Linked DNA regions of Ovis aries. Each later gene encodes a partner of the first gene's protein in a complex. Links are inferred from orthologs where the notes say so. Each region holds a gene or a part of one and is shown on either strand. Other genes may lie near its edges.

Region 1 (3,559 bases):
TACTTTAAGATCAATATGTCATATATAGTTGGGTGAACTCTGTAATAATTTGCTTGACTTTCTTCCATTGCTTCTTATAGCCAAATATTGTGCAGCTTCGAGACAGACTTTGTAGAGCACAAGGAGATCCAATACCAGGACAACAGGAATCACCCAAAATTCCTTATGAGAGGCATCAAGTGCCCAAGAGCAGGCCTGGACCTGTTGCTGGCCACGCACAGATGCCAAGAGTTCCAGCTCAACAATATTATCCCCATGTGAGTGATGCGGTCCAGACTAAGTAGGAACGTTTATGGATGTCACATTGGTGGTTTTAGTTTGTTGGGGAAAAGGCCTGTGATGAAACTATAGACAACATACTGTTTTAATGGTTATAGTTTTTCTATTCTTGAAAGTAGCATTTATGATCCATTTTTTAAAATTATCCCTCTAATCTAGTCAAATAATTGATAAATTAGATATAATTAATTTAAGCTAGGGAGATTTCTTATTTCTCCATCACTCAAACATATTGCACATGTACGTCTGAAAATTTTTACAATTTGATTCATCTAACAAACTGTAAGTAAAGTGGGAACAATTTTGTGGGTGACTTGGTTACTTTCTTTTAAAACATTTTTAGAAAATAGTCTTTTTTAAAGGTATATTTTCTGAGTCACTAGTGTGGGTGTTCTGTGTCTTCATTATCAGCACAATAGAGTATGCAGAATCCAAGTTGTTTTTTTTAACAACTTGTAAAGAGAAAAGCGAATGACCAAAGGTTTGTGAAGTTGTAGGTCATGGGCAGTGCGAAGTGTTTATTAATTAACTCACTTATTTCTTAAATAAAAATTAGCAAATGGTTAGTGGTATAAAATGGGGCCTCTTATTATCTTTTGCTATTCCATGTAGAAACTTGTATTTCCAGGCCAGATAACCTTCATGTTCTTAAATAAAATTTATTTTCAGAAGTAATAAATAGTCTTGATTTTATAACAAAGTTAGCAGGTACTCTGCCCATTTTAAAATAGAACAGATTGCTAGTAGAATTGTTGGAGTCATTTTTACATTTTGTTGTAGCAAAAGTAAGCATAAAACTGTAAAAACTGAAAAAGATTCATGCTTTTTTGTCAGTTATGCTTTTGCTTGGTACTTAATCAAGATTGGTTACATTTGAATATAATTATAACTATCTGTACTACTCTGCTTTGATTTTTTTTTGATTCATTTGACAAATACAAATTAAGCGCCTGCCTGTATTCTCCCTGTTGAGGGTATGTTGGTAGGCAAAACAACAAATTCCCCACTCTCACTGCTAGTCTTAGAAAGCCTGTAACATAGGGAGGGCACGTCAGGTGATGGCTGGGAAGCTGAGAGGTGGTGGAGAAGGCAGTCACTAATCAGGATTTTAAGACATCAATTTGTCAGCTAGGTAATAGTTAACAGGATTAGAACTCCTCAGCTCAGCACCTTGAGTTCAACCTCTCAGGGCACTGAAGTAAGGCATTATCTTCTTTGGGAGAATACAAGTTTACTCCCTGAATCCTCGAGTTTATCTCTCTTTCAGGGAAAATATGGAAACCTTAAAAGACTTTTGTTATACTTTGACCTAGTGGTCCGCTACTTTAAGAAAAGGAAAACAAGTTCAATCATAAACTAAGAGTAGTTTTTCTTGATTAAAGCTTATGGTGTGCTGAATGAGGGCAGTGGCTTGTGGTTTTATTATTATTATTTTTTTTTTCGACAGCCCCGGGGTCTCCCGGCGCTCGCTTCTCCACCAGGCTGCCTGGGCGCTGGCCCTTTCTCTCCCGGCTTGTGGTTTTAAAGGCAGGCTTACAAGCAGGAGTAAAAGGATGAAAGGGAAGCCAGATCAGGAGTTCTGACTGCGACCAGCACACCTTGGCTATTAATTGTTGATGTGATTGAGTTTCTACAAAGATTTACTTGACAAAAATTATTTTGATGGCTTTAAAAATTGATTTTGAAAGCCTCTGGACTCCAGGGTATAAGCAACACGGTGCAGTGTAGTGAACACTGGCTGGGAGTCAGGAGATGTGGAATCAGCTCTAGCTCCATCACCCCAAGTTGTCTGGACCTCAGCCAGCTCCTTCATTTCCCTGGGCCTTGTTTTTATCTCCATGGTAAATGGTGGGAATTAGATGAGATGATCTTTAATATTCTCCGATTGTATGACTCTAAGCCTCATACAGAACTAACATGATTTTTGTAGCTCTAATGAAGTCCTGAAAAGGGAAGCATACAGCAGCAATATGTCCACAGATATAATCATAGCATGAATACAATTACAGCTTCAAAAATCACTTTTTTCCTCAATAACTGCCCACCTCCACCCCCCAGAATGTCTTCTTTCTTTGCCTACTTACAGAACGTACCTTTCCCCACGTACTCCTGACACTTGAATGGCATTGTTCTCTGTGCTCTGATTTCGTTTTCGTATTGATTTTTCTGCTGTCTCCCTCTGCCTGTCCTCTTCAGACTGTGTTTTCTTTTGGAATCCCAGCTGCCCTGAAACCAGTTGCCTGGCTAGTGTGTGCTGCCGCCTCACTGCTTTCTCGCTTTGCGTCTGGCTGTTAGTGCCTTCAGGGATTTTTTTTTTTTCTTCTTCTTTTAACATTTTCATTTTTTTATGTTCTGTGATTGGTATTTCTTTGTTCAATTCAGGTTAGAATTGCCCCCACTGTCACTACCTGGAGTAACAAAACTCCTACCGCCCTTCCCAGCCATCCACCTGCAGCCTCTCCCTCTGACACACAGGTATATCCTTCATTATCCCTCTTTGAGCAGAGTTCTGCTCACCTGAATATGTATGTAGTTATGTATCTTCTACCCACCTTCCTTGAGTTTCCCACCCCCATCTGTTTGTCTGCTTATTGCATTTTAGTGCTTTTGGGAGGCAAGAAACAGGTGTTTTTGTTTGTTTGTTTTTGTTTGTTTGTTTTGTTTTTAGCACAACTTGAACTAAAAAAACATCAACCAGGGTTCTATCAATGGTTTAAATCTAATTTCACTGAAGATTTTTTTCCCTTTCCTTTTCTTCTTCTTTTCTTTTTTTCCCCCCTGTTTTTAGCATTGCAAAGAAGAAAAAAAAAAATTCCCGTGTGGCATGTATACTTACTTCCCAAAGCATTAGATACGGATGGAATTTAGTAGAGATGGAAAATCCTAGTGACTTTTTATAAATATCATCGATACTATTTGATGAGGCTGTTAGCATCTCTTGCCATTCATCACTGTTATTACTTTGGACCTGTCTAATCTTTAAATCAAGTAGAATGTGTTGCTCAGAAAACATCAGTATGCATAGAATGTAACTTTTTTTTTACATAAGATTTTTTTAAAATTTCATTTCAGAGATTATAAATCCGTCTGGTAAGATTCTTGGTTCTGAAGGTAATCTTCCTTTTTACCATATTCTCATTGCCTAGGGAGAAAATCCTCCACCTCCAGGCTTCGTAATGCATGGAAATGTTAGTCCGAATGTTGCTGCCGCTCAGCTTCCCACATCTCCAGGTCACATGCACACCCAGGTACCACCTTATCCACAGCCACAGCGTAAGTA
Region 2 (4,282 bases), on another chromosome or scaffold:
CAACTCTGGGAATTTGAAGAGCAGGAAGAGAACTGACTCGTGTCCATCCTCAGGGACTGAGGCCGGGACACACAGCACAACTGGAAACAGGAGACCGGCTCGAACTTCCTCCAGGACGCTGAGGCCCAGGAGCCAGACGCAGCTGCAGAGACGACCCCAGCAGAGCGAGAGGAGGAGACAGGCAGCACCCAAGAAAAGGGAGGGGCCATGAGTGCAGAGACAGGAGCCGCTCAGCCCCGGAGGAATGGTGGGCACCCTGGCAGGAGGAGCAGAGCCACAGCCAGCCTGTGCCTTCAGGTGGCCAACGGGAGGAGGCGGGTGGGACGGCACCAGGTGTGGGGGAGTGCCTAGCTATGCGGGCACACATCCTGATTCCAGTGTGCCACCTACCTCTGTTCTGGGGCTGAGAAAGGACTAGCGATCGGTACCCACTCATAACCAGACTTCCTGCAGAAAAAGCCTAATTGAATCTAGGAAGATATTCAGAGCACAGCAAAACAGAGCAACCTCTGGTTATGCAGGATGGGGGGACAAAAGCCTAAGAAAGCATGGGGTCCCCGACTATCAGTGAAATTCACCTCTGAAAATTCTCAGCTTGCGGCACTGGTGAGGCAGAAATTTAAAAATTTTAGCAGCTAATTTAAAGAGGAAAATGCGATTGGTTAAAAAAAAATCACAGTTTATAAGATACACACAAAACAGGTAAAACAACCATCACAAGCTGCTCCACACAAAAACCAGCACACCCCCAGGGAGGAGAGAGGCAGCCACGGCAGGGGGGGGAGGGAGTCCCTACCTCCCTCTGGGCTCAGTGACTACCAGTAAGCTCTCACCCAGCCCCAACAGAAGCCGAGGAACCCCTCAGGGCAAATCAAGAAATGTGACTCCACAGGGTCACCAGAGCAGGCCCTGATATACACTCAGTGGCTGGGTTAAACACACTCCGTCTCCAGCAGGCTCCTGGTTCAACGCTGTGTTCCGACAGAGCCATTTGCTTTAACAACCAGCTGAAATGGCGGCAGGTCTGACATCCTCTAGAGACAGTATCACCTGTGTGATCATTTTAATACCAACCCTTCACCAACAGCAGCAGAGGAGTACCCACAGTGGGGCACACCTCCCTTCCAGTCCACGCGCAGGCCTGGGAGGCACCGTCCACCTCCCACAGCACCAGCCAGCTCCCGCTGGTAAGGGTGAGCCTTTCAGCATCGTCATTACCTCTTAAAATCAATCCCTCTTCAGGTTTAAATGGCACCCCTCTGGAAGACACCACAAATCTAAGGACCAGAAAAAGACAGTGGTGTCTGACGAATCAAAAGAAGGGCAACACAGTCAGGTATTCACTGAAATAAGGTCTCCACGTCAATGGATTAATCACACTGAGACCAGCAAAAAGGTGACTCCAAGGTGTGCCCCCAGAACTGGCACAAAGAGCTGGGACCCTCTTGCCCCTGTCTGGATGACTTGCACTCACCCACTGAAAAGCCTGAGCCCCGAGACCCGGCTGCAGGGCCACCGGCATTCCCAGTTACTTCCTCGGCGTCAGTGGGACCCTGGTGCCCCGCCTCGCAAGTCACAAGACACCGTCACCAGAGAAATTCAACAGCCTTCAATAAACCGGAGGACCATCTGCTGTACAAAGCCAGGCTCCCTGTGCTCCTGGAGCTCACACCCCAGCCTCCAACTCTCAGGCTTTCCCTGGGACCTCCATGCAGCTGCCCCACCCAGCTCCGCAAGGACCCAGAGCAGCTCCGACAGGACGCCCAGGATGGAAGCCCTCCACCACAAGCCAGGGATTAGGAAAGAAGATGTTCACTATGGGTGGTCAGGCGGGCAGTTCACAAGTCCAGACGGCCAGGTGCACTCACCATTGGACAGTGCTTGCTGAAGCTCGTTGTCAGATATCACACCACTCCTGTCCTTATCAACCCTACAAAATTAAGATCAGTTAAACTGGTGATTCAAAGTGCAGGCAAAGCAACACAGGACCAGAACCAAGGTTTAACTCTCCTGTCAATCCTAAATTAATTTCCCTGCTCTTTTCCCTCTGGCTGCTAGACTATCTCACTCCCATAGTCGGGTGGGGAATAAGCAAGCCTGTCTCCTTCACTGTCTGAGGTCCCCCTGCTGAAGGCCAAGCTGCTTCTCCGTTTCTCTTAAGCCTTTCTCCCACACCCTGTCTGAATGCCATTCAGATCTTGTCCTTTTCACAAACAGGAAAAGGTTCTCTTAGACAACTAAGTCACTCCCTGACCTTGAATCACTCTAGCATGGGGCGCCGATTCGCTGGAAGGACGACCGGGTACCGAAGACACTGCGGTGACGGTCCCCTGCGCACAGCCAGGGCCTGGCTTCCCGCCTGGTGGCTGAGGCAGCCACGGCGAGCCCGCGTTTCTGCTCCCCTAACTGAATAAGCGTCCCCGGGAGACCCTCGTCCCCGAGCAAAGGCCCCTCTCTGGGGGTAGAAGGACGGAGGCCGAGCCTCCGGGCGGCCGCTCTGCGCTCCGGAAGTGCCCGGGGGCGGAGAGGAGGTCAAAGCTCGGGGGACGGAGCAGGCCGGGGGGCCAGGGCTCCAGGAGGGAGGCTGGACTGCGGGCGGAGGGGCAGGACGGGGAAGGCCCGGGGCTGACACCGAGGGAAGGGGAGGCCTGCCCGCGCCCGCCCGCCCGCCCGGCTGGCCGCACCTCTGGAAGACGTTCCACAGGAAGCTCTGGTCCGGCAGCGCGGCGCCCCCGGCAGGGCCGGCGCCGGGGCCCGGGCGGTACGGGTAGTTGGCCATGGGCCGAGGCGCAGCAGGGCGGAGGTGCGGCTGAGGGGCGGCCGGGAAGCGGGCGGCGTCAGGTGGCTCCACTTCCGCCTCGGCGAGGGCGAGGCCGGGCGCGCCACTTCCGGGGCGGTCACGGGAGCGAGCGCGGCCAATCCCGTCGCTGCCCCGTTGCCAGGCAACGCCCCCGCGTCCGGCCAGCGTGTCAGGGTCCAGCGAGAGGCTCGGAGCCGCTGGCCGAGGCCACGCGGCCTCCAGGATCACGGACGCGCGTGGGAGCTGCTTCTCCCGAGGCACAGAGTGGACGTGAAGGGCGGGGGCAGTTCCTTCGAGCATGGACTGTCCTTGCACCAAATGAAGGCCATGGAAGGGCGGTGATGGAGCGGAGGACGCGCCAGACTCCTGTGCTTTCCGGACTCCTCGCCCGGCCCCTGCCCCGCTTCTCTGCGTTCCTTCCCCACACCCGCTTTCTTCTCGGTACCACACGACGCCCCCTCCGGCGTCTGACAGGGCCTGGAGCTCCCCAGCTCGGTCTGCACGTGCGTGACCAGGCCCTGATGTCCCCTGCTGACCGTGGTGGGCGGCCAGCGTGTCCCTCCGGCCAGCTGAAGACGCCACCGCCTCCGTCCGGACTTCGACTGAGCCGCAGCGCCCTCTGCGCAGGGAAGCCCAGCTTCAGGGCTCTCCCACCGCCTTCCAGGCTCGCAAAAGTGTTGAGCTGCTGATGCAATCCCGCTGACTTGGTTCATCTTCCTCCCCTGCTTAGCTTGTGGAAGGGCCGAGCACCAGGGAAGCCCCTGATCCTTCCTTTCCTGAAGGGATTTCATTATTCAGCACTCCAAAGCTCTGCAGAAGACCCTGGTTCGATTCCTGGGTCCCGAAGACCTGCTGGAGAAGGGATAGGCTACCCACTCCAGTATTCTTGAGCTTCCCTTGTAGCTCAGCTAGTAAAGAATCCGCCTGCAATGAGAGAGGCCTGGGTTTGATCCCTGGGTTAGGAAGATCCCCCGGAGAAGGAAAAGGCTACCCACTCCAGTATTCTGGCCTGGAGAATTCCATGGACTGGATAGCCCACGGGGTCCCAAAGAGCTGGACACGGCTGAGCGACCTCCACTTTCATTTTCCAGGGCTCTGCATCTGACCTGTTGTTAGTCTCCAATTGTATTGTCCTCAGCCCCCTTTAACCACCAGACCATATGCTGGAGAGTTCTTTAAACTCTTCAAAGAGATTAAAGTATTCTGATTTGGGCACTCACACAGATTATTACTCTACAAACCTCAACAATGTGGCTTTTTTCATGACTTAATGAATTCAAGTGCTTTCTAGTTTTATCCTCCTAAAGCATTCACTGACTCGATGGACGTGAATCTGAGTGAACTCCGGGAATTGGTGATGGACAGGGAGGCCTGGCTTGCTGCGATTCATGGGGTCGCAGAGTCGGACATGACTGAGCGACTGAACTAAACTGAAAGCATTCACATCACTTGCTGACTAATCCTTTCTACAGTTTTCCACAG

What was found.
Region 2: the proteins of SEC31A (region 1) and PDCD6 are in contact, whole or in part, in a crystal structure (PDB 3WXA), measured with the Homo sapiens proteins. The link is inferred for Ovis aries from reciprocal best matches to the Homo sapiens genes SEC31A and PDCD6. Residues at the interface, in NP_001070675.1 of Homo sapiens: Asn837, Pro838, Pro839, Pro840, Pro841, Gly842, Phe843, Ile844, Met845; in NP_037364.1 of Homo sapiens: Val31, Val35, Leu48, Ala51, Leu52, Ser53, Asn54, Gly55, Thr56, Trp57, Phe85, Trp89, Ile92, Gln96, Phe99, Phe148.

What each region holds. Positions count from the first base shown.
Region 1 is NC_056059.1:98,378,463-98,382,021, reverse strand, and holds part of SEC31A (protein transport protein Sec31A), read left to right. Parts: intron 1-80; coding exon 81-257; intron 258-2,661; coding exon 2,662-2,754; intron 2,755-3,425; coding exon 3,426-3,552; intron 3,553-3,559. UniProt on the Homo sapiens protein: Component of the coat protein complex II (COPII) which promotes the formation of transport vesicles from the endoplasmic reticulum (ER).
Region 2 is NC_056069.1:71,839,066-71,843,347, forward strand, and holds the start of PDCD6 (programmed cell death protein 6), read right to left. Parts: upstream 2,840-4,282; 5' UTR 2,780-2,839; coding exon 2,685-2,779; intron 1,931-2,684; coding exon 1,869-1,930; intron 1,278-1,868; exon of another isoform or gene 1,219-1,277; intron 1-1,218. UniProt on the Homo sapiens protein: Calcium sensor that plays a key role in processes such as endoplasmic reticulum (ER)-Golgi vesicular transport, endosomal biogenesis or membrane repair.